3 linked regions of the Mus musculus genome follow. The protein of the gene in region 2 binds, or shares a complex with, the protein of the main gene of each other region. Links are inferred from orthologs where the notes say so. Each region holds a gene or a part of one and is shown on either strand. Other genes may lie near its edges.

Region 1 (9,558 bases), on a different chromosome or scaffold from region 2:
CAATACTTTTGCCGTGGTATTGATGACTGCAGAATCACAGTTGAGAAAGAAGGCTTCTGTAACAACCGAAGCAAACAATCAAAGATGTGCAGCTCTCTCTTCACTCCTTTTGTAGAAGTGAACAGTTTTGTTGAGTGGAGTCTGTGATGTTTGATCTAACTTCTTTTTTCTCCATTTCTCATGCAATCCTGAGATCAGATAGAATATTTCTTCTTTCCTCAAATCTCTGCTGCCATTTCTCATCTTGTCACGTTGACCCCTAAGCTTACTTGCTTTCCTCTACTGATTTTACTCCATGATCCGTACCTTTCACTGTTTGCCTCTCTTCATTTGAAAAACTATCTTACGATTGGTTATACACGAACAAATCTTACTTCCCACGAAATCTTTGAGCGTGGGGATAGTTCTTGTTCATTATTTTTTTCTTTCTTGGTTTTTTTGAAAATATCCTGGGTAACCATGAGCTATGTTTTGGTGGTGGTTTGATATTCTGGCTAGTTAGAGCTAGATATGAGTTCAGCTCACCCCCTTTTAATTTTAAAGCATATTCAAACAGTTGAAACACCAGCAAAATTGCTGCTTGGTGTCCTTAAAACTTTTTAAAATTACATCTTTTAGTTGAAGGTGCATGCACATGCCACAGTGCACACATGGAGGTCAGAAGACAACTTGTGGAATCAGTGCTCTCTTTCCACCATGAGTCTGGGGTGGAACTTAGGACTTGAGGCATAGGGCAGGTGCCTTCACCATCTCCAACCTTTTTTTTTTTAATATTTTTTATTGGATATTTTCTTTATTTACATTTTAGATGTTATCTCCTTTCCTGGTCTCACACACCCCTAGAAACCCCCTATCCTATCTTCCCTCCCCTGCTTCTATGAGGATGTTCCCCAAGCCACCCACCCAGACCCGGCCTCCCCGCTTTCACATTCCCCAACACTGGGGCATCGAGCTTTCACAGGATCAAGGGATTCTTCTCCCACTGATGCCCTACAAGGCCATCCTCTACTACATATGCAGGTGGAGCCATGGGTCCCTCCATGTGTATTCTTTGGTTGGTGGTAGTCCCTGGGAGTTGGGGGGGGGGAGGTCTAGTTAGTTGAACTTGTTCTTCCTTTGGGGTTGTAAACCCCTTCAGCTCCTTCAGTCCTTTCTATAACTCCTCCATTGGGGACCCTGCACTTAGTCCAATGGTTGGCTGCAAGCATTTGCCTCTGTATCTGTCAGGCTTTCATGAGACAGCTATATCAGGCTCTTGTCAACATGCACTTCTTGGCATCCACAGTAGTGTCTGCGTTTGGTGACTATATGGGATGGATCCCCAAGTAAGGCAGTCTCTGGATGGCCTTTCCTTCAGTCTCTGTCCCAAACTTTGTCTCCATATTTGCTCCCATGAGTATTTCTCCTCCTTCTAAGAAGGACCAAAGCATCCACACTTTGCTTCATGTGGTCTGTGAATTGTATCTTGGGTATTCCCAGCTTTGGGGCTAATATCCTCTTATCAGTGAGTGCATACCATGTGTGTTCTTTTGTGACTGGGTTACCTCACTCAGGATGATATTTTCCAGTTCCATCTATTTGCCTAAGACTTTCATGAATTAATTGTTTTTAATAGCTGAGTAGTACTCCATTGTGCAAATGTACCACATTTTCTGTATCCATTCCTCTGTTGAAGGACATTTGGGTTCTTTCCAGCTTCTGGCTATTATAAATAAGGCTGCTATGAACATAGTGGAGCATGTGTCCTTATTACATGTTGGAACATCCTATGCCCAGGAGTGGTATAGCTGGGTTCCCAGGTAGTACTATGTCCACTTTTCTAAGGAACTGCCAGACTGATTTTCAGAGTGGTTGTACCAGCTTGCAATCCCACCAACAATGGAGGAGTGTTCTTCTTTCTCCACATCCTGGCCAGCATTTGCTGTCACCTGAGTTTTTGATCTTAGCTATTTTGACTAGTGTAAGGTGGAAATCTCAGGGTTGTTTTGATTTGCATTTCCTTGATGACTAAGGATATTGAACATTTCTTTAGGTGCTTCTCAGCCATTCAGTATTCCTCGGTTGAAATTCTTTGTTTAGCTCTGTACCCCATTTTTAAATAGGATTATTTGATTCTCTGGAGTTCAACTTCTTGAGTTCTTTGTATATATTGCATATTAGCCCTCTATAAGATGTAGTATAGGTAAAGATCTTTTCCCAATCTGTTGGTTGCTGTTTTTTCCTATTGACAGTGTCTTTTACCTTACAGAAGCAATTTTATGAGGTCTCATTGATTCTTGATCTTAGATCATAAGCCAGTGGTATTCTGTTCAGGAAAATTTCCCCTGTGCTGCCCATGTGTTCCAGGCTCTTCCCCACTTTCTCTTCTATTAGTTTCAGTGTATCTGGTTTTATGTGGAGATCCTTGATCCACTTGGACTTGAACCTTGTACAAGGATATAAGAATGGATCGATGGTGGTGGCACAAGCCTTTAATCCCAGTACTCAGGAGGCAGAGGTAGGCAGATTTCTGAGTTCGAGACCAGCCTGGTCTACAAAGTGAGTTCCAGGATAGCCAGGGCTATACAGAGAAACCCTGTCTTGAAAGAACAAAAAAAAAAAAAAAAAAAGAATGGATCAATTTGCATTCTACATGCTGACCTCCAGTTTAGCCAGCACCATTTGTTGAAAATGCCTTTTTCCACTGGATGGTTTTCGCTCCTTAGTCAAAGATCAAGTGACTATAGGTGTGTGGGTTCATCTCTGGGTCTTCAATTCTATTCCCTTGATCTACTTGCCTGTTGCTGTACCAGTACCATGCAGGTTTATTTGTTTTATCACAATTGCTTTGTAGTACAGCTTGAGGTCAGGGATGGTGATTCCACCACAGGTTCTTTTATTGTTGAGAATAGTTTTTGATACCCTGAACTTTTTGTTATTCCAAATAAATTTGCAAATTGCTCTTTCTAACTCTATGAAGAATTGAGCTGGAATTTTGATGGGGATTGCATCTTAGATTGCTTTTGGCAAGATGGCCATTAATCTTGCCAGTCTACAAGCATGGGAGATCTTTCCATCTTCTGAGGTCTTTGATCTCTTTCTTCAGATAATTGAAGTTCTAGTCATACAGATCACTTGCTTGGTTAGAGTCACACCAAGGTATTTTATATTATTTGTGACTATTGTGAAGGTGTCTTTCCCCCAATTTTTTCTCAGCCATTTATCCTTTGAGTAAGGAAGACTACTGATTTGTTTAAGTTAATTTTATATCCAGCCACTTTACTGAAGTTGTTTATCAGCTGTAGAGTCCTCTGGTGGAATTTTTGGGGTCACTTAAGTATACTATCATATCATCTGCAAATAGTGATATTTTGACTTCTTCCTTTCCAATTTGTATCCCTTCGACCTCCTTTTGTTTTCTAATTGCTCTGACTAGGATTTCCAGTACTATACTGAATAGGTAGGGAGAGAGTGGGCAGCCTTGTGTAGTCCCTGATTTTAGGAGGATTGTTCTCCATTCAGTTTGATGTTGGCTACTGGTTTGCTGTATATTGCTTTTACTTTGTTTAGGTATGGGCCTTGAATTCCTGATCTTTCCAAGACTTTTACCATGAAGGAGTGTTGAATTTTGTCAAATGCTTTCTCAGAATCTAATGAGATGATCCCAGCACTCAGGAGGCAAAGGCAGGCGGATTTCTGAGTTCGAGGCCAGCCTGGTCTACAAAGTGAGTTCCAGGACAGCCAGGGCTACACAGAGAAACCCTGTCTCGAAAAACAAAAGCAAAAACAAATTTGCATTTTAAGCCAGGCAGTGGTGTCCCATGCCTTTGATTGCAGCACTCAGGAGACTGAGGGAGGTTGGTTACTGAATTTGAGGCCTGCCTGGTCTACAGAGTGTTCCAGGCTAGCCAGGGCTGTACGAAGAAACCCTTTCTAGAAAAACACTAAAAAGTAAAGGAAGGAGAGAAGGACGTAGGACAGAAAGAAAAAAAATTGTCTTACCGTATCTATTGCTACAGTGAAATACCATGACCAAAAAGCAACTTGGGAAGGAAAGCATTTATTTGGCTTACACTTCCACATTGGTTTTCATCATCGAAGGAAGTCAGGACAGGGACTCAAGCAGGTCAACAACCTGGAGGCAAGATGTGATAGAGGGGTGCTGTTTACTGACTTGCTCAGCCTGCTTTCTTGTAGAACCCAGGACCACCAGCCCAGGGATGGAACCACTCAAAATGGGCTGGACCCTCCCCATTAATCACTAAATAAGAAAATGCCTTATAGCCAGATCTTATGGGAGCCTTTTCTCAGTTCAGGTCCCTTCTTTCAGATAACTCTAATTTGTGTCAAGTTGACATAAGACTTCTTGATTTTTGTTAGGTAAGGATCTGATATGATAAAGGTAGATAGCTTAATTTATGCTATCAAGGGAATATTTTATTAATGCACTTAATAAAACTGAGCATTGCACGTCAGAATGTTTTCTTTAAAGCCCACATGCATAATAGTTATCCTGAAAGACTACATTAATGTTCTTCTCCTTTTCTTTTAGGCCTCATTGCTCCGTTTTCAGAGTACCTTGGTAATAGCTGAGCATGCAAATGATTCCCTAGCACCCATTACTCTAAATACTATCACTGCAGCTGGACGTCTTGGAGGTGAAGTGTCCTGCTTAGTAGCTGGAACCAAGTGTGACAAGGTGAGAGCTTTTTAAGGTCAGCCATAGCAAATATAATCTCCATCAAGAGGCAGTGAAAGATGGCAACAGTTATTATGCTGACTCTAACTGGGCTCTAGTCCTCATTAAATGGCCAGTGTCACAGATATTATTGTGTATGAAAAAAGAACCAAAAGGTTTTTCTCATGAAGCATTTTGTCTTTCAAAATGAGGTGGAATGCCTGATTTGTTCTGCTGGCACCATCCTGTGCCATCAGGTACCAAGTAGAATGGCATCTGAGTCCTCTTAGAGTTAATAGCAGATTCTTTCTGTACTGTACACTTGTTAATTTCTTCTAATTCCAGAAAGTAGTCAATCTGGGCAAAGTATCAGAGATGCTAATATTTAATTGGTAGAAGAACTCAAACCTTCTTCTCATTCTTCTCAAATTATGGCTGGTGGTAAATGTTGATTTTGTTGTGGTTGTTAAATAACAACTTTGGAAAGTAACTCTTGGGAAACTTTATTCTGCTGTGCAGACAAGAGCCTATTAAGACTACAGAGCTTAGCAGGGTGTGGTGGCGCATGCCTTTAATCCCAGCACTGGGGAGGCAGAGGCAGGCGGATTTCTGAGTTCCAGGACAGCCTGGTCTACAAAGTGAGTTCCAGGACAGCCAGGGCTACACAGAGATACCCTGTCTCGAAAAACCAAAAAAAAGACTACAGAGCTTTAGATGCCAGTTCCCCTCCACTATATCAGAGTTGCTGAGTGTGTGACAGGGGGTTTGGCCTTCATGAAGAGTAAGTGTTGAGAGAGAATGTTTCTTTTTAGCAGGCTACATATTTTATTAAATTGTTGATGTAGCACACATGGTAATGCAGGTTAGAATGTTAGTGTCACTTCTAATTCCTTTCATAAAAGTGGTGTTTTTAGGACTGTTCAGCTGGTTTTGAGTTACGTAGGTTTCTTTATCTCACTCCTCTTGATGGTTATTGAACCTTTTTCTTAGGTTTTTTTTGTTTTTGTTTTTGAGACAGGGTTCTCTGTGTAGCCCTGGCTGACTGTCCTGGAACTTGCTCTGTAGACCATACTTTCTTTAAACTCAGAGATCTCCTGCCTCTGCCTCTCAAGTGCTGGGATTAAAGGTGCACACCACCACCACCCAGCTGCTTATTGAATCTTATACAGTTACTGTTTACCACAATGTCTGATAATAGAGTTAAGCCAACTTTGTTTTTTGTCTACTCAGTTTTAAAATATAAACAGATACTAGATCTATTTGTTTTGCTGAGATTTTAACTACTTTAAAATTTCTTTAAAGTACTTGATATTTAATCATTTGCAGTCTTGTGTATTTCTTGTTCTTATTTTTAAGAAAGGTGTCTGCTAATAATGTAGACAGATTTTAGTTTTGTATTGTTTTTTTCAGCTGTTAATCATAAACTGAAAGTGATTATTCTATGTATTACTGAAATTTTGACAGTTAAAAAAAAGTTCTAATGGGAAATTCTGTTCTCTTTGTATCCAGGCTGATGTGTAGCAACTTTGGAATTAAGTGGGTTTCTTAATTGGAAATTTCTTGAAACCAGAGATGCTAAATACTGGTGTACCTCTGTGTAAGACAGTGTGATGTGCTGCTCAGCACTCAGCCCAGCAGAGTCTTCCTGTGTCCTCCTTTCAGTGAATACTGTGGAACCTTTTAGTCCATGGAAGAGGTTAGGAGGCTCAGCTTCTTGTGCCCAGTCATCAGTGAATTAGCAAATGGAAGACAGTAATAGCTGATGGGACTGATAAGCAGAAACCACTCATATTAAAGTTACTTTAAAGGAAGAATGCTAATTGCCTTTTGAACAGAAAATCAGAGTAGTCAAAGGTTTCTCAGAATCCGTACTTAATTCTAAACAGGAAAAAAATGAGAAGTTAAACAAGAAAATACCTTCCTTTGTTGAAGGTAAGTATGTTTGTGTAGGCAGAAACTCCGTGTTGACAATGGGCTGTAATTGAAGATTTCTCTCTATTTCTTGGAATTATTAATCTTACTCTCAAAAGAAATTATTGTTAAATTAAGTGTAGTCAACTTTAGAGAAGTTCTGCCTTCACTTTTAACAGATCCTGAGTCTAATGTGTCTTATTGGCTTGGATATACATATAATACCCATATGTGCATATATATGTGTGTGTGTGTGTATATATATAGAGAGAGAGAGAGACAGACAGACAGACAGACAGAGACAGAGAGAAATCTCATTTTAGTTCTCCTTTCCTCTTCCTTCTTTTTTCCCTTTGTATTTCTGAGAGTGGATGTCACTCTATCCCACACTGGCTTAAAATCTGTGATTCTGCTACCTCAGCATCCCAAGTACTGGGTACCACATCCAGTTTTTACTTTTCTCCTCCTAAAATAATGCACTTAAATTGGCATCAATGAAAAAACATAGTTTTCAGCTAAATTTGAGTAAATTAATAAAAAAATTGATTTTGGTTTATCAATTAGTATTAAAAAAGATTTTATTGGGGCTGGAGAAATGGCTCAGCAGTTAAGAGCACTGACTGCTTTTCCAGAGGTCCTGAGTTCAATTCCCAGCAACCACATGGTGGCTCACAATTTGTAATGGGATCTGATGCCCTCTTCTGGTGTGTCTGAAGACAGTGACAGTGTACTCACATACGTAAAATAAATAAATAACTTAAAAGATTTTATTTATTTTTATTTCATGTATATGAGTTTTGCCAGCATACTCATATAGGAATCAAGCATGCAATGCCCTGGGGGCCAGAAAAGGCTATCAGAACCCTTGGAACTCAAGTTACAGATAGTTCTGAGCTGCCACGTAGATGCTAGGACCTGAACCTAGGTCACCTTTGAGAGCAGCAAGTGCTCTTAACTGCTCAGTTGTTTCTTCAGCCCAGTTCTTTTGTTTGTTTGTTTGTTTGTTTGTTTGTTTGTTTGTTTGTTTGTTTTTCGAGACAGGGTTTCTCTGTATAGCCCTGGCTGTCCTGGAACTCACTCTGTAGACCAGGCTGACCTTGAACTCCTTTTGTTTTTTAAGGTAGAATTTTTATAGTGTGACTGATTATGTCAGTTCATAGTAAAATCAGTTAGCTTGTAATTTTCTTTAAGAATTTTTTTCGAAAGGGCTGGGGAGATAGCTCATTGTTTAAGCATGCAGACTGCTCTTGCTGAGGGCCCAGGTTTGATGCCCATCACCCATGTTGACAGCTTTCATCTGCCAGTAATGTTAATTCTAGGGAACCTAGCACCTCTGACTTCCTTGGGCATCTGTACTCTGTGTACATATATGCCCTCCCCATAGACATAACTAATTTTTTAAAATGTTATTTTAAAAAGAATAATTTAAAAATAAAAACCTAGTGCGGTGGAATATTTGTAGTCATAGTATTCTGGAGACTGAGGGTAGAAGACCGTTGCAAAATCAAGGCCAACCTGGGCTACGTAGTGAATACTAGGTCAGCTAAGGCTGGTAACAAGACTCTTCTGGGGAGAAAGTACCAAAATAAGACCAAAACAAACAAACAAAAAAACAACATAGCAATGTTTTTATTTTTTTTTAATTATCTTTATTGACTTTACTAAATAGTTTTGTGTCAACTTAACATCTCATCAGAGAGGAGAGAGCCTTAATAGAGAAAATGACTCCATAAGATGAGTTGTAAGCAAGTCTGTAGGTCATTTTCTTAATTTGATTGATTAGGAGTGGGGGGAAGGAGAGAGAACTAGGCCTTGTGTGGGCTTTTGAAACCTCAACCCCCATATCTCCTACCCCTTCCCCACCCCCCCATCTACACACCTTTTCAACAAGAACATAACTCTTAATCCTTTCACAGAGTTCATCAGCTGATCAGCTGGGGACTAAGCATACACGTATATGAGCCTATGAGTGGCATTCTTTTTTCTTTTTTGTTTTTGTTTTTGTTTTGTTTTGTTTTTCAAAACAGGGTTTGTCTGTGTAGCCCTGGTTGTCCTGGAACTCACTTTGTAGACCAGGCTGGCCTTGAACTCAGAAATCCACCTGCCTCTGACTCTCAAGTGCTGGGATTAAAGGCGTGCACCACCACGCCCAGCTATGGGTAGCATTCCCCTACACCATCTCAAAACAAACACATAGTAGTTTTTCATACTTGGCCATTAAGATTTTATGCTTGGTTAAAACTTAACAGTGTTGGTTCATTGTTTCTTTTGGTGGATACTTAGAAGCCCTTCTCTTTATCACAGGTGGTACAGGATCTATGTAAAGTAGCTGGCGTAGCAAAGGTTCTGGTGGCTCAGCATGATGCATACAAAGGCCTTCTTCCAGGTGAGGTGTTCTAGTGGGAAAATGTAGTCTCTTCTGCTCGATATATGATTATGAAGACAGCATGAAATGTGTTTCATCAAATGTGTTTAATTCTCAGAGGAACTCACACCATTGATTTTGGAAACTCAGAAGCAGTTCAGTTACACACACATCTGTGCTGGAGCGTCTGCTTTTGGAAAGGTGAGAAGTGAGTGAATTTCACTGGGCTGGAAATGTAATGCTCTTTGTTTAAATAGCCAGTCCTGACTTGCTTGCACTAAGGGGCATACTGCTAACATTTATTCTTTTAAGATTTCATCAAATTTTCAAATTTTGTCACAGAGATAACTATTATTTTAGAATTTTATTATAAATTATTAACCTGTCACTTCTAGGTTTTGGAATTGGCCTAGATAAAACTATTATTATTAAATGGATTTGTGTGTGTGTGTGTGTTTTCTCTCTTTCTCTCTCTCCCTTTCTCTCTCCCTCTCCTCCACCCCCTCCCCACCCTCCCCACGCCCCTGTAGCCCTAGCTATGCAGGTACTCACTCTGTAGATCAGGTTGGTGTCAAATATCTGACTCTGCCTCCCAAATGCTGGGATTACAGACAGGCAGCTTAGT
Region 2 (10,051 bases):
ATCAGCATTTACCATGGGAGTGGAGGAGAAGGCTGAGCCCCGTCTTCATGGGAGAAGAAAGGTCACAGAGAGGGAGAACTGGGAACCAGGAGACCGTGATGGTTAAGGGAAGAGAAACTTCTAGAACAACTTAGCCATGCAGTAGTTGCAGCTTTGGCGCTCCCCTTTCCTCCTCTTGCTCCTTAGCTGTCCTGAAACTCATCTGCAGATCAAGCTGGCTCAAAACTGCAAGAAATCCTGCTGCATCCTCCCAGGAGCTAGGACTGCAGACAGACTAAGCAAACAACTAAGCAAGCTCCCAGGCTTGCTTTCTGAGCTGTCATTCTGTTAAGAGAGCCTCAGGAGCTAGGCTCAGATGGTAAGAGCTCATTTCCCAGCACCTACATCAGGGTGGCTCAAAGCCAAAGGAATGTCAGTTCCAAGGGATCCAATACCTTTGGACTCCATTCTGCACATTTACACATACACACACACACACACACACACACACACACACACACACACAACACAACACATAATTTAAAATAATGTAAATAAATTCTAAAGATAAAATTCGATTTACCTTAAAAATAAAAAGTTTTAAATAAAGATTTTAAAAGAGAAGCTGGGCTTGATGCTGCACTCCGTGCACTTGAGAACCTGAGGCTGGAGGATTGCTGTAAGTCTGACGTTGGCCTGGGCTACATGGTGAGTTCTAGGCCAGCTGAGGGCTACACAGTAAGACTCTGACTGGAAGCCAAACAGAGCAGAACACAACCAAAGTTAGGAATGGTGGTGTGAGCCTATAATCCCGGGACCAGGAGATAGAGGCAGAAGAATCAGAAGTTTAAGGGCGACCTGGACAGCCTCAGATGGTTTGAATGCACAATGGGCATTAAATAACCCTGTTTCAAAACAGCAATCCTGAGGAGTGCAGTGACTCCTGTCTTTGATCCCAGCACTTGGAAGGCAGAGGCAAGCAGATCTTTGTGAGGTTGAGGACAGAATGGTCTACAGAGTGAGTTCCAGGAAAGCCACCCACGGCTACATAGTGAGACTTTGCCTCAGAAACAAACAAACTCTAGAACTAGAACAAAGAATCGAGCAAACACACTTCTGGGGGAGGGTATCCATTTAGAAGGCTGCTAGGGGAGAAGATTCTGGAATATCTGCTGCCTCACAGAGAACCATCCTCCCTTCCCCCAACCCCGCGGGCTCTTTGTCGCAGGGGACCAGGCTGTAAGTCATTTTCTGGGGTGTGTATGTGTACGGGTAGGGCTGGGGGGGGCACTGGGGCCAATAGGGCCACCTTCCTCACTGAGGAAGAAAATGCCTGAAAGTTAGTCACTAGGCCTGAGGTGGAGATGGGGATGGAGACACTTGGAGAACTGAGTCTCTTAGAGGGGGGTCATAAGTTCTTAGGCAAGGTAGCTGAGGAAGAGGCCAGTAGCATGGGGTGAGGGGATATTGGGAAATTTTTTGTTTTGTTTGAGAGAGTCTCACATAACCCAGACTGGCTTTGAATTCACTATGTAAGTGAAAAATGACCTTGAACTTCTAATCCTTCTGCCCCTATCTCCCAAGTGCTGGGATGACACGTGTGCCCCACCATGACGGTTTTATATTAAACTAAGGAATGTGCCCAGGGCCGTGTGCATGCTGGGCAATCACTCTACTACTAAGCTACCTTCCTTGCTCCTCTTTTATTTTGTATTGTTTTGCTTGTTTTAATTGAGATAGGCTCTCACACTGTAGTCTGCCTGGCCCAGAACTCATTACATTACTCATGGCCTGCCCTTGGGCTTGTGATGTCTTGCCTCAGCCTCACTGAGGCTAGGATCCCAGGCAAGTGGCTGCTGTTGGGGACGTTGAGGTTGCCAGGCAAGAGTGCTTGGGGGGCGGGGGGTGGGGGGGAGGCCTTCTGGCGTGGAAGAGCTTCCTCCTAACGAGAGGTGTGAGCCAGTCGTACCTGTGATGTCCTTGGCAGCTGCCTCCTTGGCATGGGGGTGAAGAAGAGCCTTCAGACTGGAGGGAATTTACTTAATCTCTTGAGCAGCATCCTCACAGTACTGTCTACTACCACCAACTACTGGACCCGACAGCAAGGGGGGCACAGTGGCCTATGGCAGGAGTGTACCCATGGCAAATGCTCCAACATCCCCTGCCAGAGTGAGACCTTCACCTGCCTCTATATCAGACCACACTCCAGAGCCCACCCCTACCCCTAGCTCCAGATGGGCCTTCCATACCAGGCGCAGACCCAGATGTCCTTTACCCAAAGGCTCTTTCTCCCCAGGCCTGCCTTGCTGTCCTCTCCCTACCAAGTCCTCCGTTCCCATAGGAACACCTGTTTCCAAAATGCAGTCAGATGAGCTCTAGATACTCATGGTGTGTGTGTGTGTGTGTGTGTGTGTGTGTGTGTGTGTGTGTGTGTGTGTAGGGGTGAGGATGGCCAGAAGAGCCCAGGGATGTTCTTTCATGGCACCAAGGCGTCTAGCTGATGCTACCCTGTCTCTCCAGACACCGTGGCAGTGTCCGCAGCGTGCATGGTGTTGGCAGCAACCTTCAGTATTGTAGCTTTGGGGATCGGGATAAGGATTCAGTGTCGAGAGGCAGAGTCACGACGTAGCCAGAATACCATTGTCTTACTTTTCCTCAGCGGTGAGAAGGCAGTCACCCCTATGTAGGAGGGGTGGTGGTGGTGCTGGTGGTGGTGGCAATTCTGAAGGAGTTGGGCCGAGAGAGTTTGACTGCCATGGTTAGAAATGGGAGGGGCCAGGGGGCAGCTGACAGTGGGGATGTTTCTGACTCTTTTCTTCTGCTCTTGGGACTCTTCGCCTCCTGTTGCGTTCTCTTGCCCATCCTCCGTGGGCTTTTGCCTTGTCTCCTTGTATCTCTTTTTGTCCTGTTTGACTGTCCTCTCTTGGAGACCTACTCTACTCTGAAGAGGAGGAAGTGTGGGAGGGGAGATGAGGGAAGCTGGGAGACGTTGAGGGAGAGGAAACTGTGGTCGGGATAGATTGTATAAAGGAAGAATCTATTTTTAATAAAAAAAGAAAAGAGGAGGAGCAAGAAGCCCACGAAGGTGAAGCCAAAGGGAAGCTGGGCGTGGTTTGATAAGTCAGAGACAAGGGCAGTTCTGAGGGGTGGGCTTGGGTGCAGCTTCTACCTGGCCACGCTCACCTGACGGGTGGGCGTGGCCCAGGGTTGCTGCTGCTGATTGCCTTGGCCGTATACACTTCAAAGAATGCCTGGAAGCCAGAAGTCTTCTTCTCCTGGTCCTACTTTTTCGGATGGTTGGCTTTACCCTTCTTGTTTATTGCGGGTAACCAGCACGAGGGGAAGAGGGTGGAGACTACCCCTCTAGAGGACTCCCCTCCCCAGAAACTTCCCAGTCACCTATTCTTCCTAGCAAAGTCCACAATAACTTCCAGTGACTTCCCCGCCCCTGCACTCCAAGACACCCGATGGAAACGCCCTTGGAACCCCCATCCCTAGCTCCCAGGCAGGCCAGATCATCCGCCCCATAGCCCACCTTCCTTCCCCGGGCTCTGTACTCCCTTCCTGCCAGGCTTCTGCTTTCTGCTTGCCGACATGATCTTGCAGAGCACCGAAGCCATCAGCGGATTCCCGGTATGCCTATGAATGCGGCCTGCCTGGGGCAGAATAAAGGAATGGCTTTTAGCCTCGCCCCTGCGTGCTTTTCTGCGGAACGTAGAGACAGAAGCTTGGAGACTACAGAGACACGGATAAAGTGGCTTGTAGAGAGTTAAGGAGGTCAGAAGGAATGTGGGAGGGTAGGAACGGAGACTTGAACCCTGTAACGAGGTGTGTACCCTGGGGATTTGCAGATGCGGAAGCAGGGAGAGGGTGTAGGGACAAGCTGACACCGGGTAGTCCTAGCGGATGTAGGCGTAGAAGAAGGGGCGGGGACGAGCGCACCCGGGGAATGCACGGGGAGAGAATATGGGACTCGGGAGAGTCATAAAGCACGCAGTCGCGGGAGGAGGTGGGGATGAGCGGACACGGGAAAATCACAAGGAAGTAAAGTGTAGACGCAAGGATAAGGAGGGAATCTGCAGAAAGAATGCGGCGGCAAGCAAGTGAAGGAAGGCCTTGGGGGCGTAGGAAAAAAGGCACAGGGTGCGCGTGGGAACACAGACATGGGGGCTTGGAGTGCTGAGAAAGGAGGGATCTAGAAGTGAATTGCAGATCTGGGGACAACAGGAGTTACGAGGAGAGCATTAGGATAAATAAGCCCTCAGCAAACTTCACTCCTAGGAATGCCCTTTCCCCTACTTCTGTGCAACGCCCCCTCCACCCAGCGGTCCGCCGTGGACCCCGCCTCTCCCTGAATTCCGCTTCCTATTGGCTTTTTCTGAGTTGTGCGACGGTTGATTGGTCGGTGTTGCGGCGCGCAGGCGCAGAGACAGATACGGGGCGGAGTGTGTGACTATCTGGATTAGGAGCAACCTGACCCGGCCAGTGACTGCTGCAGGAAGATGGCGGAGCTGCGCGCGCTCGTGGCTGTCAAGAGGGTCATCGACTTCGCTGTGAAGGTGACTTTCCCCACCCCGACTAGGTCCCAGCACCCTGAGACCGCAGCTATGAACGTCCAAGAGCAGGAGCGTGCCCCACATAAGAGAACCTTTCAAAAGTCAATTTCTATTGCCCTTTGACCCGACGTCAGTCATACTTGGAGCAAAAATCAAGGGCTGTGAGATTTTGACAATCAGATCCTTCTGAGGTGACGACCCTTTTCCCCTCTCTCTCAGTCCCTTGATAACTGTGGGCTGGAGGAGTCATGGTCCCTATTTAACACGTGGAGAAACTGAGGCACAAAACTGGCACTTAGCAAGAGAGAATCAGAATAGAGAATTCTATGTGGGGCCTGCGGTTTCATCACTCATTACCTTGCAGGCTGCACTGTCTGCTCTAAATGTACAGCCACATGGAGAGCCATCTGGTTCCATGGGACTCAGAAAGCGCCTCACCCATATAGCCATGGGATGCTTGTCGACAGTTTTTTATTTAGGAAGGGAAGGAGACCTGTGCTTGCTGGAGAAGCAAGTTCAAAGGAGCCAGCTTAACTAAGACTTTGGAGTGTCCGTGAGCAGTCTGAGGGCAGCACCCCTGAGGCCCTGGGTTCTCCTCAGAGAGAAGCTGCTGTAGCCAGCATTGAATCAGACTGGGTTCCCAGGCCAGTCTCTCAATGCTTAGCCTAATCTGTACTGAAAAAAAGATGGTGGCAATTCATGTTTGTCTGTCCCCATTGTCCTGTGATCCCCCTTTGTGTCCTTCAAATTTCCTAGCATAAGGAAGATGCACCCAAGAGACCCTCTGAGATAGGTAAAAACGGGCTATATCATTTAATACCACCATCTACGTACCGCAGTTGAGGAATGAGACAAGAAGGATTCAGGAGACAGACTCAGACTTAATGTCCATGACCCAGACAGCACACATGGAAGTCGGCACAAAGCACCAGCAGATATAATTCCTGTACAGAGATTGATCCCTTTGTACAGCTTCTGTACTCTCAATCGAACAGGGTGGTTGAGGAAACCCAGGCCCGTGGAGGCCCTGTTACTTGCCAGATGCCTGCCCCCTGCCCCCAAGCTGGGTAAGCAGCAAGAATCAGGAGTCTGGGCAAGTCTGACTCTCTGCCTGTTTGCTAGAGAGAAAACGGGTTGGCTTGAGGTGGCTTCTAACAGCCTGTGACAGAGATGGTGCTTCCAGGTTTATTGAGATACATGTGGGTTTGTGGGCAACTCAACCACCATTAATTTGTTTGTTTATTTATTTATTTATTTGGGTGTGTGTGTGTTGATGGGAATTAAGCCCATGACCTTCCAAGTGCTAGGCCAGACCAGCACCACTGAGCTATAGCTCCAGTCTTTTTCCATTTTATTTTTAAAATTATTATTATTATTGACAAGGTATTTTTATTATAATTTAAATTTCTAAAATGATTTATTATTTATTTTTATTTTATGTGCATGGATGTTTTGCTTGCATGCATGCATGCGTGAAGGTGTCCAATACCCTGGGGCTAGTGTTTACAGACAGTTGTGAGCTACGATGTCCATAGCATAGGTCCCCTGGAAGTGCTCTTACCCACTGAGCCATCTCTCCAGTCTCCTCTAATTAGGCCTATGTGTGTGGATATGCACATAGAAGAAGTATAGGTGCCCCTGCAAGCTGGAGTAGAGCATTAGCAAACCCTGAAGCCAGTTATAGGTAATCGTGAGCTGCCTGATGGGTGTGTCAGGAACTGAACCTGGGTCCTTTAAAAGAGCACCAAGTGTTCTTAACTACTGAACTATCTCCCCAGCCCCTAGAGACAGTCTTATTTAGTCCAGGTTGGCCTGGAACTCACTAAGAGGTCGAGGATAGCCTTGAACTCCTGATCCTCCTGCCTCTACATCCTGAGTGATGGGATTACAGCTGTCTACTATCACTCCTGGGTCTCTACATCTTATTCTGAGGCGTTTAATTGCCCAGGCTGGCCTCAGACTCTACATCCTCAACCTCTCAACTGGCTTTGATGCTGGGCCTGCAACCCCGTACCCAGTACCCTCACCACCTTGAATGAACTCTAATCCCAGCGCCTCCTAGTGCAAAGCTTGGCCCATGGTCAGCTAGGCTGTGTTCCAGTATGAACCGAGAGCTTAAAGGTGAATACGGCATGGTGTCCTCTTTTCTTAGGGTCATGGCACTTCCCTCTCACACTGTGCAAGCTTCCTACTTCACATCCAGTGTCTGATGATACCCTCTTTGAGAAAGGCAGTGAGTCAGACCTTGCTACCCTGACTCCTGATACCATCTTTTCATCATCTGGTTACTTGGGCCAGACTTAGGTACCATCTTTTCTCCTAACACTCAATGTCAGAACCCACGGACTGTCAGTTCCCAGCCCCAAACCTTATACAGCACTGTTTCCTTTCTGACCCCAGGCCCTATCCCATTAACCCCTGTCTCACCTACAGCCTAACCCTAGCCTCCCCCTGAGATCTTGGGCTTTCCCCTCCAGCACTTTCTCATCCAGCCTCGGGGACTTCCTACATGCAGGGCTGACCTTGTCTTGGCTCCCCATCACTCTCCATACAAAGTCCCACCTTCTCAGGCTGGCTTTGGGACCCTTGGTTATTTGGTTCAGCCATCTATGGCTGGGGACCTTCTAGGTCTTGGGACCTTCTCCTCCCATTTCTGCTTCCAAACCTCCAGCCTGTACTCTGTCAATTGATTCCTTTGCTTTGGTGTCCTTTCTGCTGTACTCTCTAACATCCTTTTCCTGTCTTGACAATTGTGACCAATTGATTACATCAACATTGAATGAATCTCCTCTCTCCTGAGGTCCCCCCTCCCCCCGAATCTTATCCTGTAAGCCCTTTCCAGAGTATATTGTAGTCTTCTTGTTTACCCCAGTGTGCCACCTGCACCCCCATTTCCAGACTGGCAGCTCCTTGCAGACTGAACCAAGTCTCTCACCCACCTCAGTGTTCCTGGTATCACCCAGTTCCTCATGATGTTTGTTCTCAGATCATTTTTCTGAGGCCTTGTGATCCTTTGCTGAAGATCATGGTGCTCAGAGGCCCTACAGTTCCACGCCCACTCTCCTGCCATGTAACCAGTATCACTTTTTTAATGGGCATTCTGGAATTTGAGATCTTCTGGGGGAAACAGTTGTCTGATGTGTTCACCGTGGAAACAGTCTCAGGCTGCGGGCATCAGAATGGTTCACCCCACTGATAAATGACCCTTAAGATTATTTTTGTTTTATATGTATGAATGTTTGCCTGTAAATGTGTTATGTGCAGTATTTGCATGTATTGCCCTTGGAGGCCAGGGGAGGGCATCTGATCTCCTGGAACTGAAGCTACAGATGGTTGGGAGCAACCACGGGAATGCTGGGAACTGAACCCTGGTGTGTTGCAAGTGCAGCCAGTGCTCTTAACCTCTGAGCCTCATTCTCTTCCTATTGACAGTAGTGCTTATGGTAGTACATACTTTCTGAGGGTTAAGTAATTTTTATTTATTTATTTATTTGAGGTGGGTCATGCACATGCCACAGCACTACTGTGGGAAGTGAGTGGGCTCTCTTCCTCCACTATGTGGGTCTCGGAGATAAAATTCAGGTTATCTGGCTTGGCAGCAAATGCCCTTATCTACTGAACCATCTCAGTGGCTCAAAAGTGTAACCCAGAGTGATTTGGAACCCTTCATCCTTCTACCTATGCTTCGTCAGCATATCCTACTGGCACTTGTCACCACAGTTGGGTTTACGTTAACTAACTCCTTGGAAGAGTGCCTGGTGTGCAGTGAGTGCTGTTAACGATTTGGATGGCCAGTGATGGAGGTCTCTTTAGCAACTTCCTTAAAATATAACTGGTGCTTGCTCAGACAGGGAGAAGGAAAGTATTAATAGGTATTTGGCCACTCAGCGAGGTGCTTGCTTCTGGCCAGGAACACATTTTCCATGAGGGTTAGCCCTCTGAGGTAACCAGGAGAGGCTGGAGGATGATCTGAGGCCCAGGAAGGCTGTGGCCAGCTGTGAAGTGGCCGCCGCACCCCTTTAGTGCTTAAGGAAACACTGGCTCCCACACCTTTCCTTCATTACCCTCGCTTCCCCCCCCCCCCCAACCCCAGCCTCAGGCCCTAGTGTTGCCCCCAGGAGATCTTCTGTATTTGCTCAGTGCTCTGGCCCCACAGTAGCCACGCTGTCACTGGTGTTGCCAGTGTGTGATCTCCCATCAGGCCTTGCTGCTCTACTTGTTCTATGTCCTACAGGTGCCCTTTCCCATCAAGCTCTGTTAAGAGTGTGGCACACACCCAAGTGGAAGTCTGTGCACTGTGTCAAGGGTCCAGGAAACTGCATTTAAAAGCCCTCTCTTAAAAAAAAAATTTGTGCGTGTGTGTGTGTGTGTGTGTGTGTGTGTGTGTGCTTGTGCATGTATAAGCAAGCATACAGGTGTGTGCCCACAGGCCATGAGCCTAGGTCAGAGGACAACATGAAGGAATCAGTCCTCTCCTTTTACCATGTAGATCCTGAGGTACCCCTCAGGCTTGGCAGCAGGCCTCTTTATCCACTGGGCCTCTGGTTTGTCTTTAGTTTGTTTTGTTTTGTTTTGTTTGAGACCAAGTTTTATGTGTCCTAAAGTGGCCTTGAACTAATTCCCCTGGGTCTAACTCCCAAATACTGGGATTATAGGTGTGCACCCCTACACTCTGCTTATAGAAACCCCCTAGTACCATAATCCCATCTATCCAGGAAGCCTCCTCATGAACACTAAGAGGTCAAGCCCATCCTCACCTACAGTGAATCCAAGGCCATACTGAGCATAGTTAGAGCGGGGAGCACATTGCTGGTGATGCAGTTCTGTGAACCAACAGGCTTGGGTTGCATCTCGACGTGGGAATAAGAGATAGTGTATTCTGGCTACACCAGAGAGGCAGGAGCATTGAGATGAGGGAAGCTTTTCTGTAGGCCCACGATGCTATATGGAGGCATTCTTAGCCTTTGGGTTGATGGAAGGAAGCTAGTGGTCTGCTAAGTTAATAGATTCTAAATGTTCTTATCTGTTAATCACAGATGTTAGCTCAGACACAAAGGAGGGCCAAGACTAGACTAGAACTAGCCCAAGATAATTAGTCTCTGGCCCTAAAACCTTACAATCTCTTGACAGTTCTGATAGTCTAATGAAAATCTTCAGACACAGCTTGTTTTCAGGAGTTTTCTTCGAAAACCAAACCCCTCTCTTGGAAATAGCAGCAATAGACACACTTGCTACCTCCATAGAGCTTCCTGCTTCCAAGACAGCCTTAAGTTAGACCCCCGTCCCTCTGTTCCCACCTCCCTGGGTGACGGTGGGTCGGCACCTGACTTCTCTGGGCCTCAATTGCTCCAACATGGCAATAGCAGTGACCAAGTTCCCTGGCTTATAGGACAGACCACACGAATGCAAGCTGTTAAAGCCACTTAGACCTTGGGGCCGAGCTCCTGCATGGGCAGAGCTTATGGAGCTGAATGGAGCGCTGCCCCGTATCTAAAATAGAAGCACGAGAGGCCTGG
Region 3 (10,063 bases), on a different chromosome or scaffold from region 2:
CCTCCCACTACGGTATCCTCTCACCCTGGCACATCAAGTCTCCATGAGGTTAGGTGCATCCTCTTCCACTGAGGCCAGAAGCCCAGCTAGAAGAACATATTTCCACCTACAGGCAACAGTTTTTGGGAGAGCCCCCGCCCCCAACTCTAGTTGTTTGGAACTCACATGAAGGCCAACCTGAGTCTGAGATGGTAGCTGTGATGTTATAAAGGTGAGAGATTATAAAACTTCCCAGTGTTGGGCACCTCAGTTGCCAAAGATTAAATGATATATGTTGTCAGAGTCATCTTGCTCTCTGCTTCAAGCAGCTGAGAGACAGGATTTGACAGAATAGATAGGCCCAACTCTTATCAAATAGATGCTTCAGTTTCAACATCATTTCACATTTGCTATCAGTGTTTGGGTTTGGTAGGGAAATTTGTTTTCCTAGTTCCTAAGATTTGAGTAATCTTTCATGAGTCACATGTACATAATCTATGTTCCATGGACAAATATTAAAGTACCTTAAGTTGATAATGTAGGCATGATACATTCATGTATTTGGGTATATTCGTTCAATTCTGTATTGTTGTGGTAAATACTAGTTAGCTGTGGACATCTTATTTGCTGAATTTAATTTGATAGGCCACTCATTTCTGAAGCGGAGAGGTGGAAAGAGGGTCGGTCATGTGGAGCCCAAGCTAGCCTCGAATTGGCTATGAACTGAGCATGATCTTGATCGTCTGATCGTCTTTCCTCCTGAGTGGTGGGACTATAGGTGTCTGACATCCCTGGCTCTCCAGGTCTCTTAGTTCTTTCCAAAGTCTAGCTGTATCTCTCCAGCTCTAGATGTGTTCTAGTCTTTAACTCCTGAAGGTCCTGGCTATGTGAAGGTAGCATTTGCTAAGCACGTTCTTCTTTCCTTCAGTTCCCAGAACCCGAGAAGCACCCACCTACCTTAATGTGTTTGTTTTCTGGCTTTTGAGATTTCTGTTTTCTCATCCAGTAGTGTCTCAGCTCCTTCACTCAGCTCGATCCATGAACTCTGAGTTCATAGTTTAATCATACCTGGGGAAATTGATGGTTTCAAATTTCTATTCCTACGAAGAGTTTTAAAAAGAGAGTAAAGGGACTGGAGAGGTGGCTCGGAGAACTGACTGCTCTTCCAGAGGACCCAGGTTCAATTCCCATCACCTACATAACAACTCACAACTGTCTGTAACTCCAGTTTCAGGGGATCTGACATCCTTAAACCAATGCAAATAAAATAAAAGTTAAACAAATTTAAAGGGGTAGGGAGCTGGAGAGATGGGTCAGTAGTTAGGAGCACTCACTGCTTTTCCACTAAGAATCAGATCCAGGGATTAGAGCCAAATGGCTAGATCTAGCACTCAAAGTACAGCCAACAATTTCAAGTGTGACTTTTGCTCGACAAACAGCAGCACTACAGAACGTGAGCCTGGGTTTTCCCTAGCATGGCTGACTGGAAGAAACCACAAAGGCCTGAGGTAAATGCAGTCAGTTCTCCCTCCTTTCCTCTCTTTTCTTTCTTTCCTTTAAGTATTTCTGGGAACTGAACCTAGCTCTACATTCATGTTAGGTAAGTACTCTACCAGTGAGCTGTGTTCCCAGCCTTTTTTGCAATTTTTACTTTTGACCCACAGATCTTTTCAAGTGGCACAGACTTGTCTTAAACTTGCTCTGTAGTCCAGGCCTTGAACTTTCTACCTCCTACCTCATCTCCTTGAGTAGCTAAACCTTCATCCCTCCCACCCCTGGCCTTGGAACTACTGGTCCTCTAGCACCCATACCTCCTGAATGCTAGGATTAGAGGTGTGAATCCGCAGGCCATCTTGAATGATTATATTCTTAACTGTCCTACACTGTAGGGGAATCCTCTCCTTGTGAGTTCCTGCAGACATATAAATTTTCAGTAACTGAGCATAAAGATTATGCTTGCTTGCTAGGGACATAGCTCTGTGGCTACTTCTGACTAGCCAATGGGAAACTAAATCTTTGCCATAGGAAGGATTGTGCATCACCACTTTTATCAAATAATCATCTCTTGGGGATTGGTTCCAATGCTTTCAATTAATCAGGGATCTACCCGTCGAAACGATGAAGGTCCTTGCCCCCAATTAGTCTTTAATCAATCAATAAAGATCAATGGCTGGGAGGAGAGAGGGGGGCTCAACGTTTAGATTATGTGGGCTAGGAAGTGGGAGAAAGGAAGATGGAGACTCACTATGACTCAAAAGAGGAGGATGGGACAGAAGAGCTACAGTAGATTAAACCAACCAGCCCTGTAAGAAGTGGCCTCTGGCCACTTTCCCAATTGGAGTTGGGTACTAGGTAAAAGTTTAGGAGTGCCCAACCTTTGAGCTAGTTGTGGCAAGTCAAAAATCAACGTGTGTGTGTGTGTGTGTGTGTGTGTGTGTGTGTGTGTGTGTGTCTTTCATTCGATAATCCAAAGATCCTGTGAAATCCGCCAGGAGCCAAAGTGGTGTAGCTAAACTCACTGCTACAACCAACCATCATCAGGAGACAAAGCTGACATTAAAGACTTGCTCATGTGAAGTAATATGAATGTACAGCAGGGGCCATTGTTCAGGACAACTGGCTTGGCCTCTTAAAGAAAACAAGAGGGGGGCTGAGGAGACAGCTTAGTGGTTAAGAGCAGAGGACCTAAGTTTGGTTCCCAGTACACACAGCCAGCAGCTGGCAATCACCTATATCCAGTTCCAGGGAATCCGTTATCATCGTTTGGCCTCAATGTGCACAGAGACATACAAATATACATATTTTTTAAAAAGATGCTATTGTTGGCTAAAGATTGATTAAATTTTAAAATAGAAGAAGTTAAAACCAATTTGAAGTAGGAAAACATTCATAGAATTCTGGTTTGAAAACAAATTACATGTAAAAGTCACTGGAGAAATGCACATATTGACTATGTCTGGATATTAAATGATGATAGAGATTAACTGTCCAGACAGATGTGACAACAGAACTCACATGACAATGTGTTATATAAATATTTAGAGTTGGAGCGTGTTATGTTCAAATTAGTTCTGAGACTAATCAAATTCTTAGAAATTGCTCTTACCCAAAAGCTCCAACTCTGTGCTGGAGAGATGGCTCAGCGGTTAAGAGCACTGACTGCTCTTCCGAAGGTCCTGAGTTCAAATCCCAGCAACCATATGGTGGCTCACAACCATCTGTAATGAGATCTGATGCCCTCTTCTGGGGTGTCTGAAGACACCTACAGAGTATTTACATGTAATAAATAAATAAATTTTGCCGGGCGGTGGTGGCACACGCCTTTAATTCCAGCACTTGGGAGGCAGAGGCAGGCAGATTTCTGAGTTCGAGGCCAGCCTGGTCTACAAAGTGAGTTCCAGGACAGCCCGGGCTATACAGAGAAACCCTGTCTCAAAAAAAACAACAACAACACTCCCCCCCACCCCAAAAAAAAGCTCCAACTCTTCACTTGGGCTCAAAGATTGCTGAGAAGGATAAAAGTCTGCTACCTTCATTTGCATCTGTTCTCTTAACTTTGGGTCCAACTCCTTAATGCTATACAGTCAGTCAAATATTGTAAGATCGCTAACCCTTGTTATTCCTGTTTGAGAGTGAATGTGAGGTGAAGCAAACACACTGTACCAGAGACAGAGAGACACGCTCTCAAAGCATCTCTCCAGGCTACCCCAAAGTCTCTGTTCCAATGAAGTAGCAATATCAAGATGCTTAATGGAAACAGAGCAAAGAAGGTCATATTTACATCAAAGTACTTTTCAAATACTTTAGTAGAAATGTTACAGAAAAAAAAAAAAAGCCATAGGCTTCCAATGCTATCTGACAACATTTGCCATCTGGTTGGTGGGAGGTAGGTGTGTGCCTGAATATTCTAAAGAATGTACCTAATGGTCACAAAGCTGTTAGCTTACACATAAAGGAAGGCAATAAATGGCTGCCAAGGAGGCTAAAAATGGCACAGATAATGTTGTTTGTGGACCTGGAACATTCCACAATCAGAGGTTTAAACAGCTCATCAGACTAGCAGGCCATTCAAAGGAAGATACCTTTTTCTGGAATGTTCCCTTACAACCATTAGAAACTATGTTTCAGGAAAGATTGTTGATGTTGAAAGATTAATCTTATAGATCTGAGCATTTATCTCACAATGGAATCCACATACCTTTTCTAGGCTTTGGTGTGCCTGACAATGCTACAGGTAAGACAGAGAGAAGATGAGAATTTTTCATTGTTCATTAGTCTCAAAAATAAGCTCCTGTCTCCCAGTTCCTTGAAGCAGAGAGCAAGAGGACTATTGACAGCTTAATCTTTGGCAACTAAGGTACCCAACACTAAGAAGTTTTATAATCTCTCATCTTTATAACACCACAGCTACCATCTCAGACACAAGGTCTAACTGGAAGACAATGGGAATTTAAGCAAAGTTTACAAACTCATGAGCAAAATTTCACTCCCAATGTTCACTGTCTGGGGAGCTTTTGGATAGGCTCAGCTTGGGTTCCCAAGGATGCTTCCCACATCTATATAAGTGGATAATAAGTAGCCTTGAAAACGTTCAGAAAAATAGATGAAATAAACACTATTGTGCTTTGGTTTGTTTAGGTTTTGCTACTTGGCTCTCGCTGGCCTCAAACTCGCAGTGATCTTCCTTCTCAGTCTCCTGGCACTGAGATGTCTTAGTCGCCCTGGCTACACATGCAGCTAATTTCCTATTTAAATTTTAAGGAGTACAGACTACCTATCGATCTAGCCCAGAATTTGTTGTTCCAGTGAATACCGGAGCCATAAAGAATCTGACTCTCCAAGTAAAGGTCACAGCTGACTGCTAGAAACGTCTGGCTGCGCCCTCTGGCCTAGATTCGGGTCCAGCTCTCCCGGGCAGCCCTCTGGAAAGAACGTGACCTTCGGGCTCCGGTGACACTGGGCACACAGTCTTCTTCTCCGGGCCAAGCACAGAAGTTTAGGCTCGGGCAAGGTCGGGAGCAGGACGCATGCGCAGAGGGCCTTCAGGCCACTCCCTCTTCTGGCCCAGGTCCGGACCCGAGACCCTCCCTCATCTAGCCCCGCCTCCCAGGCCACACCCCTTGAGCCTGCAAAGACCACGCCCAAGGTCTTCTGCTTGGACCCGTCATCCCTCTGTCTCTCAGCCGAAGTCAGTCTGAGAGCTCAGACCTCATCTGTGTGTAAAGGGACTCCCTAGGCCACGCCCCCGAGGTCTGCAGACTTTGACCCGCACGCCTCCGCACCCCTAGAGTCTAAGGCCCGCCCCTCTCCTCCCTCCAAGCCACGCCTCCTGGGGGCGGGACCCCCGTCCGTTTTGCTTGCTGCACGGAGGTGGTCGGAGGCAGCAGATCGAGGAGCCATCATGGCAGCGGCGTTCCGCAGAGGCTGCAGGGTGAGCGGGTGACCGGGTGGTATCGGGAGGGTCGGCCCTACGCGGCCTGGGGGAAAGCGGGAGCCTGCGGGCGTCCCCCCGCGCTGCCTGCCGCCCTCCCTCACTGATCTCCGGGCTCTGACCCCTGCAGGCGTGGCCCTGCGGACCTGCTTCATTCTGGGTCAATGGGCTCAGCCACTTCTCTCCAGTCACCCACGCTTCTTGAAGGGAACCCGGTGTCAGAACCCTGCTGTGGCAGAGGCGATCACTTCCAAAAAACTTTGACTGTAGTCCCACCCCAGGAAGGCATCAGTGTGTGGTTCTGTAGCCACGGGCGTGAACAAGTGTTAGGATCCAAACAGGTTGATCCTGGGTGTGCACAGAACACAGGCACAACACGAAGGAAAGGGAAGTGGGCCGCTCCGCTCGCACCAACAGGGTTAGGACGCCTGTGGTTTTGTGATGTACAGGCACCCTTCCAAAAAACAAAAGGGAGACAAGCCTACCGAAGAATTTTCATGAAGCTTGCTTTCTAAATGTTGTACCCTGCAGAGTTTTGTCTCCTAAGCTGTTTTAACCACTAGTTTGTTATATTAGCGATGTGTTCGTACAAACCTCCATTTATACCACCTAAAACTGGACTGAAGTTGCCTCTGGCACCGAAAGCTGTAGTTTTAGAATTTACAACACCATTACTATACAACTCAACAGGTTCTGAAAGCAGAAATTGAAGGGTTTTAAAGTTATTTTTTATTCTGACAACAGAACTACAGGTTTCTTGGTGCCTCCAAGGACAAGAGAGGGAAAGTCTAACACCATAACAAAACAGAAAATGCATTCCTTTATCCTATTTTTCACACCGGGATAAAACCAAGAGTCAAATTTCTAAGTAATTCGTTACTTAGTTATGCTGTAGTTGCGGGCTTGAAGACTAAAGTTAGTAGTGTTCCCATATTGGAATTCCTTGGTTTTGGCAGAGAGCCAGGAATAATAAACGCAATTCTCTTCTGACTTTAGAGTTTCAGAGTGTCGTCGTTCTTTATATTGGGTCTCATTTTGTAGTCCAGGGTGGTGCGGCGCTCACAGCTTCACCTCTGCCTTCAAGCCTGGCTGTCTTATTTTAATAATCTCCAGTTATCTCCTAGGATTAGTGAGCCTGATTTTCAGGTGTAAATACAAATTGTGTGTTTGGAACTGTTCCCAGACGGGTGTTTGCAAAACTTAAACTCTATGTTGTAATGCTAAGTTTTTAACCCTGTTCTTTTTTTTATTGTTTCTAAGCTGTCTACACACAGACACGTGCACACTCACATACACAGACAGGTGTGTTCACACACACAGACACACACAGACCTGCACATCCTCTCTGCACAAGCAATGAGCAGGCTCGTGCGTGCATTAAGCTACTCTAATTGAATGACTAATGTCAGTATATAAGGAGCCCAGTAATGGGCCCGCCACTTAAGTTGTATAAAATGCAGCTGACCAGTTTTGTAGAGTGGTGGTCTTCATTTAATCTCGGAAGTAGAGGCAGAAGAATTGAGATCCCAAGGCTAGCCTGGATTCCACGGTGGGCTTGGGGGCTATCCTAAACTACTTCAAAAGAACTTGTCCTAACAGGAACACAAACCAAATTATTAGGGCCTGGTGTGGTGGGTCAAGCCTTTAACCCTGCATTTATGAAGGTAGAGTTAGGGAGCTCTCTGGGAGTTCAAGGCCAGCCTTGTGTACAAAGTAAATTTCCAAATCAGCCACAGCTACGTATTGAGACCTGTCTCAAAAACAAAACAAACAGCACCACCAAAAACTGCACTTGAACACACACACACACACACACACACACACACGGAAGGAGGGAGGGTGGAAGGGAGGGAGAGAGAGAGAGAATGAGAATGACTGAGCAATTTACATTTTTTTCTCATTTAATATTTACTGCTCTTGCGGAGGGCCTGAGTTGGCTTCTCAACACTGATGTTAGGTGGCTCAGAACTATATGTAACTCCAACTCCAGAGAATCCTGTACCCTCACCACACATATATAGACACACAAATGAAAAACTATAAAATTGAATAACATTTCCTTTATGGTTAGGCATCCCTCTAGCTTGTAATTGACGTTTGAGTTATAATTTATTTAGTACTGACTTTAAGAACGTAGCTCTTGAATAAAAACATAGCCATACAGATGCTGTGCTTGCCCTGGGGTCTGTATGACAATACTCATTTGTGTGCGGATGTGTCTGTGTGGAACTCTCAGTACATGCAGCAAGGTGGAAGCCAGAAGACGGTGGTGGGAGTGAGTTCTCTCTCCCACCACGTGGGTTCCAGGGCTCAGGCTCCGGTCACCCGTCTATACAGTAAGGACCTCAATGGCCTAGCCAGTGTTTTTGCATTTGGTTGATATTTAGGTTATTAAGTTTACTTATTATATCTATTTTTTTTCCAGGTCCTGAGAAGTGTTTCTCATTTTGAGTGTCGAACACAACACTCGAAAGCGGCTCACAAGCAGGAGCCCGGATTAGGGTTTAGTTTTGGTATGTGTCCCTCCCTTTGACTTGAAGGTCTGCCTGGGCTGTGTCTGTAACATGATGTCTGTTGATGAGTGGAGCAGACACCGCCCACAGTTGGCTCCCGGTAACTTCCGTCTGCTGGACTGCGTTGCCTTCTTCCGTATGCTCTCCCGAAAACTGCGTTGCCTTCTTCTGTATGCTCTCCCGAACACTCAAGTGTTCTCAGGCGGCCTCTATGGTGTCCTTTCTCTTCTTTCCCAAATGGTAGCCCAAATAAATGAATATATATGAATTGTTTTCAACCTACAGATTAACTGTAACATACTTCCTTTGTCTTTGGAGACAGTCTCACTATATAGCTTTGGCTGGCTGGAGCTCTAAGTAGAGAGATAGGCAGGCCTGCCTCTCCCTCCCTAGTACTGAGATTAAAGGTGTGAGCAACCACACCCGCTGGCTTAACAAATATTTCTCCAAATACTCATCGGTTCAGTGGTGTAACAATTAAAAAATTGGCCTGATTTATCTGAGCTGCGGTTTGATGCTGTTATACGGTGTCCTCAGACCTGAGACCAGGTGGCCATGTGGTTTTGGAGGGAAAAGAAGCTAGATTCTTCTTTTCCTTTTTACAAAATGAAACATTCCGAGTTAAAAATGTGAAGTAAATCCTGGTTTTTGGTGTCCTTCACCCCTAAAGGGTTTTTACTTGAAGTTGTTACCTTGCCTCTAGCTAGGAAACCATTTTCTCTGTTCCCTTGGTCTCTGAAAAGTTCCAAGGCTGAGCTGGTTAACAAGCACGGGGTCCTTGGTGGCTGAACGCATCTAGGTTTATTGACTTTATTCGAGTATACTTGAGTGAAAATACATACATACACACACACACACACACACACACACAACTGGAATTAGACTTTTCATATATCATGAGCATAGCAAGTTGAATTAGTGGGCGTGTGAGAGTAGCAGCCTTTACTCTGACTGTTATCTATTCTCAGCTTTTTTGGGGGGCGCAGGGGAGGCGGGTTTCAAGACAGGGTTTCTCTGTATAGCCCTGGCTATCCTGGAACTCACTTTGTAGACCAGGCTGGCCTCGAACTCAGAAATCCACGTGCTGGGATTAAAGGTGTGCGCCACCACGCCCAGCTTTATTCTCAGCTTTTTACATATGAATTCCTACATACTTGTGGGCAGTTCCGAGAATCTGACAAGCCTCGGAGTGCCAGAGGGTGAGGCAGATAGAGGAGTTTGGGAGGGAGTTTGTGAGCTCAGACTAAAGTGCAGGTAATGAGAGGACTGGTGGAGGAGCGCACCTTTGACCCCAGCACTTGAGACCGAGGCAGGTGGATCTCTTGAGTTCGAGGGCAGGCTGATCTACAGAGCTAGTTCCTGGCCAGCCAGGACTAACTGGTTCTGATGGATAAAGTAGGTATAACAAGTGCAATAGGATATCATGAAGATTACTGAGTTGATGAAAGCAGGTTGCCAACAAATAATAATATGGTAGACGCCTTTCCTTCTGACTTTGGACTCATCTGTCTAAAGTCGGAAGGAATTATCTCCAGTCTTTGAAGTGAAGAGATCTGGAAAACCCCAGCAGCTCCGAGCCCCAGGCTCCTTGACTGCTGCTGTCATCACCACGAGCCTCGAGGAGCCACCTCCTCTCTGCCTGGTCTCCTGCTTTTGTCTTCCTGGTTCTTTGTTTGTTTGTTTGTTTGTTGTACTTAGTAGTGAAACCATAGAAACCAGTGTGCCAGTCCCCTTAAAGGAAGACTGCTTGGTGTGTCATCAGGCTGTGTGGATGACTGACGGAAGTACACAGCTTTCAGCCATTCCTTAGTCTCCGTGTCTTAACCATGAGACTTGATCTGTCTTTTACACTTTGCCTCTCGGCCCCATACAAATGAGAACTGTAGATATATATTTTTTTCTTTTTTTAAAGACAGGATCTTACTGTGTATCCCTATCTGGCCTGGAACTCACCATGTAGAACAGGCTGGCCTTGAACCTACAAAGATCCTCCTGCCTTTGTGGTCTGAGTGCTGGGTATAAGGGTGTATGCTGCCTCACCTGGCTTGTTCTTCTAAGCGTTGGCTCTTACTCTGATTGCCTGAAATACCCAGTGCCACCTTTAACCCTCCCTGCCCTGCCGTGTGTGGAGGGTGGAATG

What was found.
Region 1: the proteins of Etfb (region 2) and Etfa are in contact, whole or in part, in a crystal structure (PDB 2A1U), measured with the Homo sapiens proteins. The link is inferred for Mus musculus from reciprocal best matches to the Homo sapiens genes ETFB and ETFA. Residues at the interface, in NP_001976.1 of Homo sapiens: Ile14, Tyr16, Val18, Ile20, Val22, Val29, Thr31, Phe41, Leu102, Arg106, Lys124, Gln125, Ile127, Asp128, Asp129, Asp130, Cys131, Asn132, Gln133, Gln136, Met137, Ala139, Gly140, Phe141, Asp143, Trp144, Pro145, Gln146, Thr148, Phe149; in NP_000117.1 of Homo sapiens: Glu27, Leu88, Pro89, Glu90, Ser113, Ala114, Phe115, Lys117, Asn118, Pro121, Arg122, Ala124, Ala125, Lys126, Glu128, Val129, Ala130, Pro131, Ile132, Ser133, Arg146, Thr147, Ile148, Tyr149, Ala150, Gly151, Asn152, Ala153, Leu154, Cys155.
Region 3: the proteins of Etfb (region 2) and Acadm are in contact, whole or in part, in a crystal structure (PDB 2A1T), measured with the Homo sapiens proteins. The link is inferred for Mus musculus from reciprocal best matches to the Homo sapiens genes ETFB and ACADM. Residues at the interface, in NP_001976.1 of Homo sapiens: Glu73, Arg76, Thr77, Tyr192, Ala193, Thr194, Leu195, Pro196, Ile198, Met199, Lys202; in NP_000007.1 of Homo sapiens: Glu43, Gln44, Lys46, Glu47, Phe48, Thr51, Lys54, Phe55, Glu58, Glu59, Arg80, Glu83, Leu84, Gly85, Leu86, Leu98, Leu100, Ile108.

The regions. Positions count from the first base shown.
Region 1 is NC_000075.6:55,495,138-55,504,695, reverse strand, and holds part of Etfa (electron transfer flavoprotein subunit alpha, mitochondrial), read left to right. Parts: intron 1-4,531; coding exon 4,532-4,678; intron 4,679-8,872; coding exon 8,873-8,954; intron 8,955-9,051; coding exon 9,052-9,134; intron 9,135-9,558. UniProt on the Homo sapiens protein: Heterodimeric electron transfer flavoprotein that accepts electrons from several mitochondrial dehydrogenases, including acyl-CoA dehydrogenases, glutaryl-CoA and sarcosine dehydrogenase.
Region 2 is NC_000073.6:43,439,667-43,449,717, forward strand, and holds the start of Etfb (electron transfer flavoprotein subunit beta), read left to right. Parts: upstream 1-4,445; 5' UTR 4,446-4,481; coding exon 4,482-4,538; intron 4,539-10,051. Other genes in the region: Cldnd2 (claudin domain-containing protein 2), read left to right, coding at 1,980-2,148, 2,500-2,640, 3,185-3,275, 3,551-3,752. UniProt on the Homo sapiens protein: Heterodimeric electron transfer flavoprotein that accepts electrons from several mitochondrial dehydrogenases, including acyl-CoA dehydrogenases, glutaryl-CoA and sarcosine dehydrogenase.
Region 3 is NC_000069.6:153,939,743-153,949,805, reverse strand, and holds the start of Acadm (medium-chain specific acyl-CoA dehydrogenase, mitochondrial precursor), read left to right. Parts: upstream 1-5,162; 5' UTR 5,163-5,380; coding exon 5,381-5,410; intron 5,411-7,835; coding exon 7,836-7,923; intron 7,924-10,063. UniProt on the Homo sapiens protein: Medium-chain specific acyl-CoA dehydrogenase is one of the acyl-CoA dehydrogenases that catalyze the first step of mitochondrial fatty acid beta-oxidation, an aerobic process breaking down fatty acids into acetyl-CoA and allowing the production of energy from fats.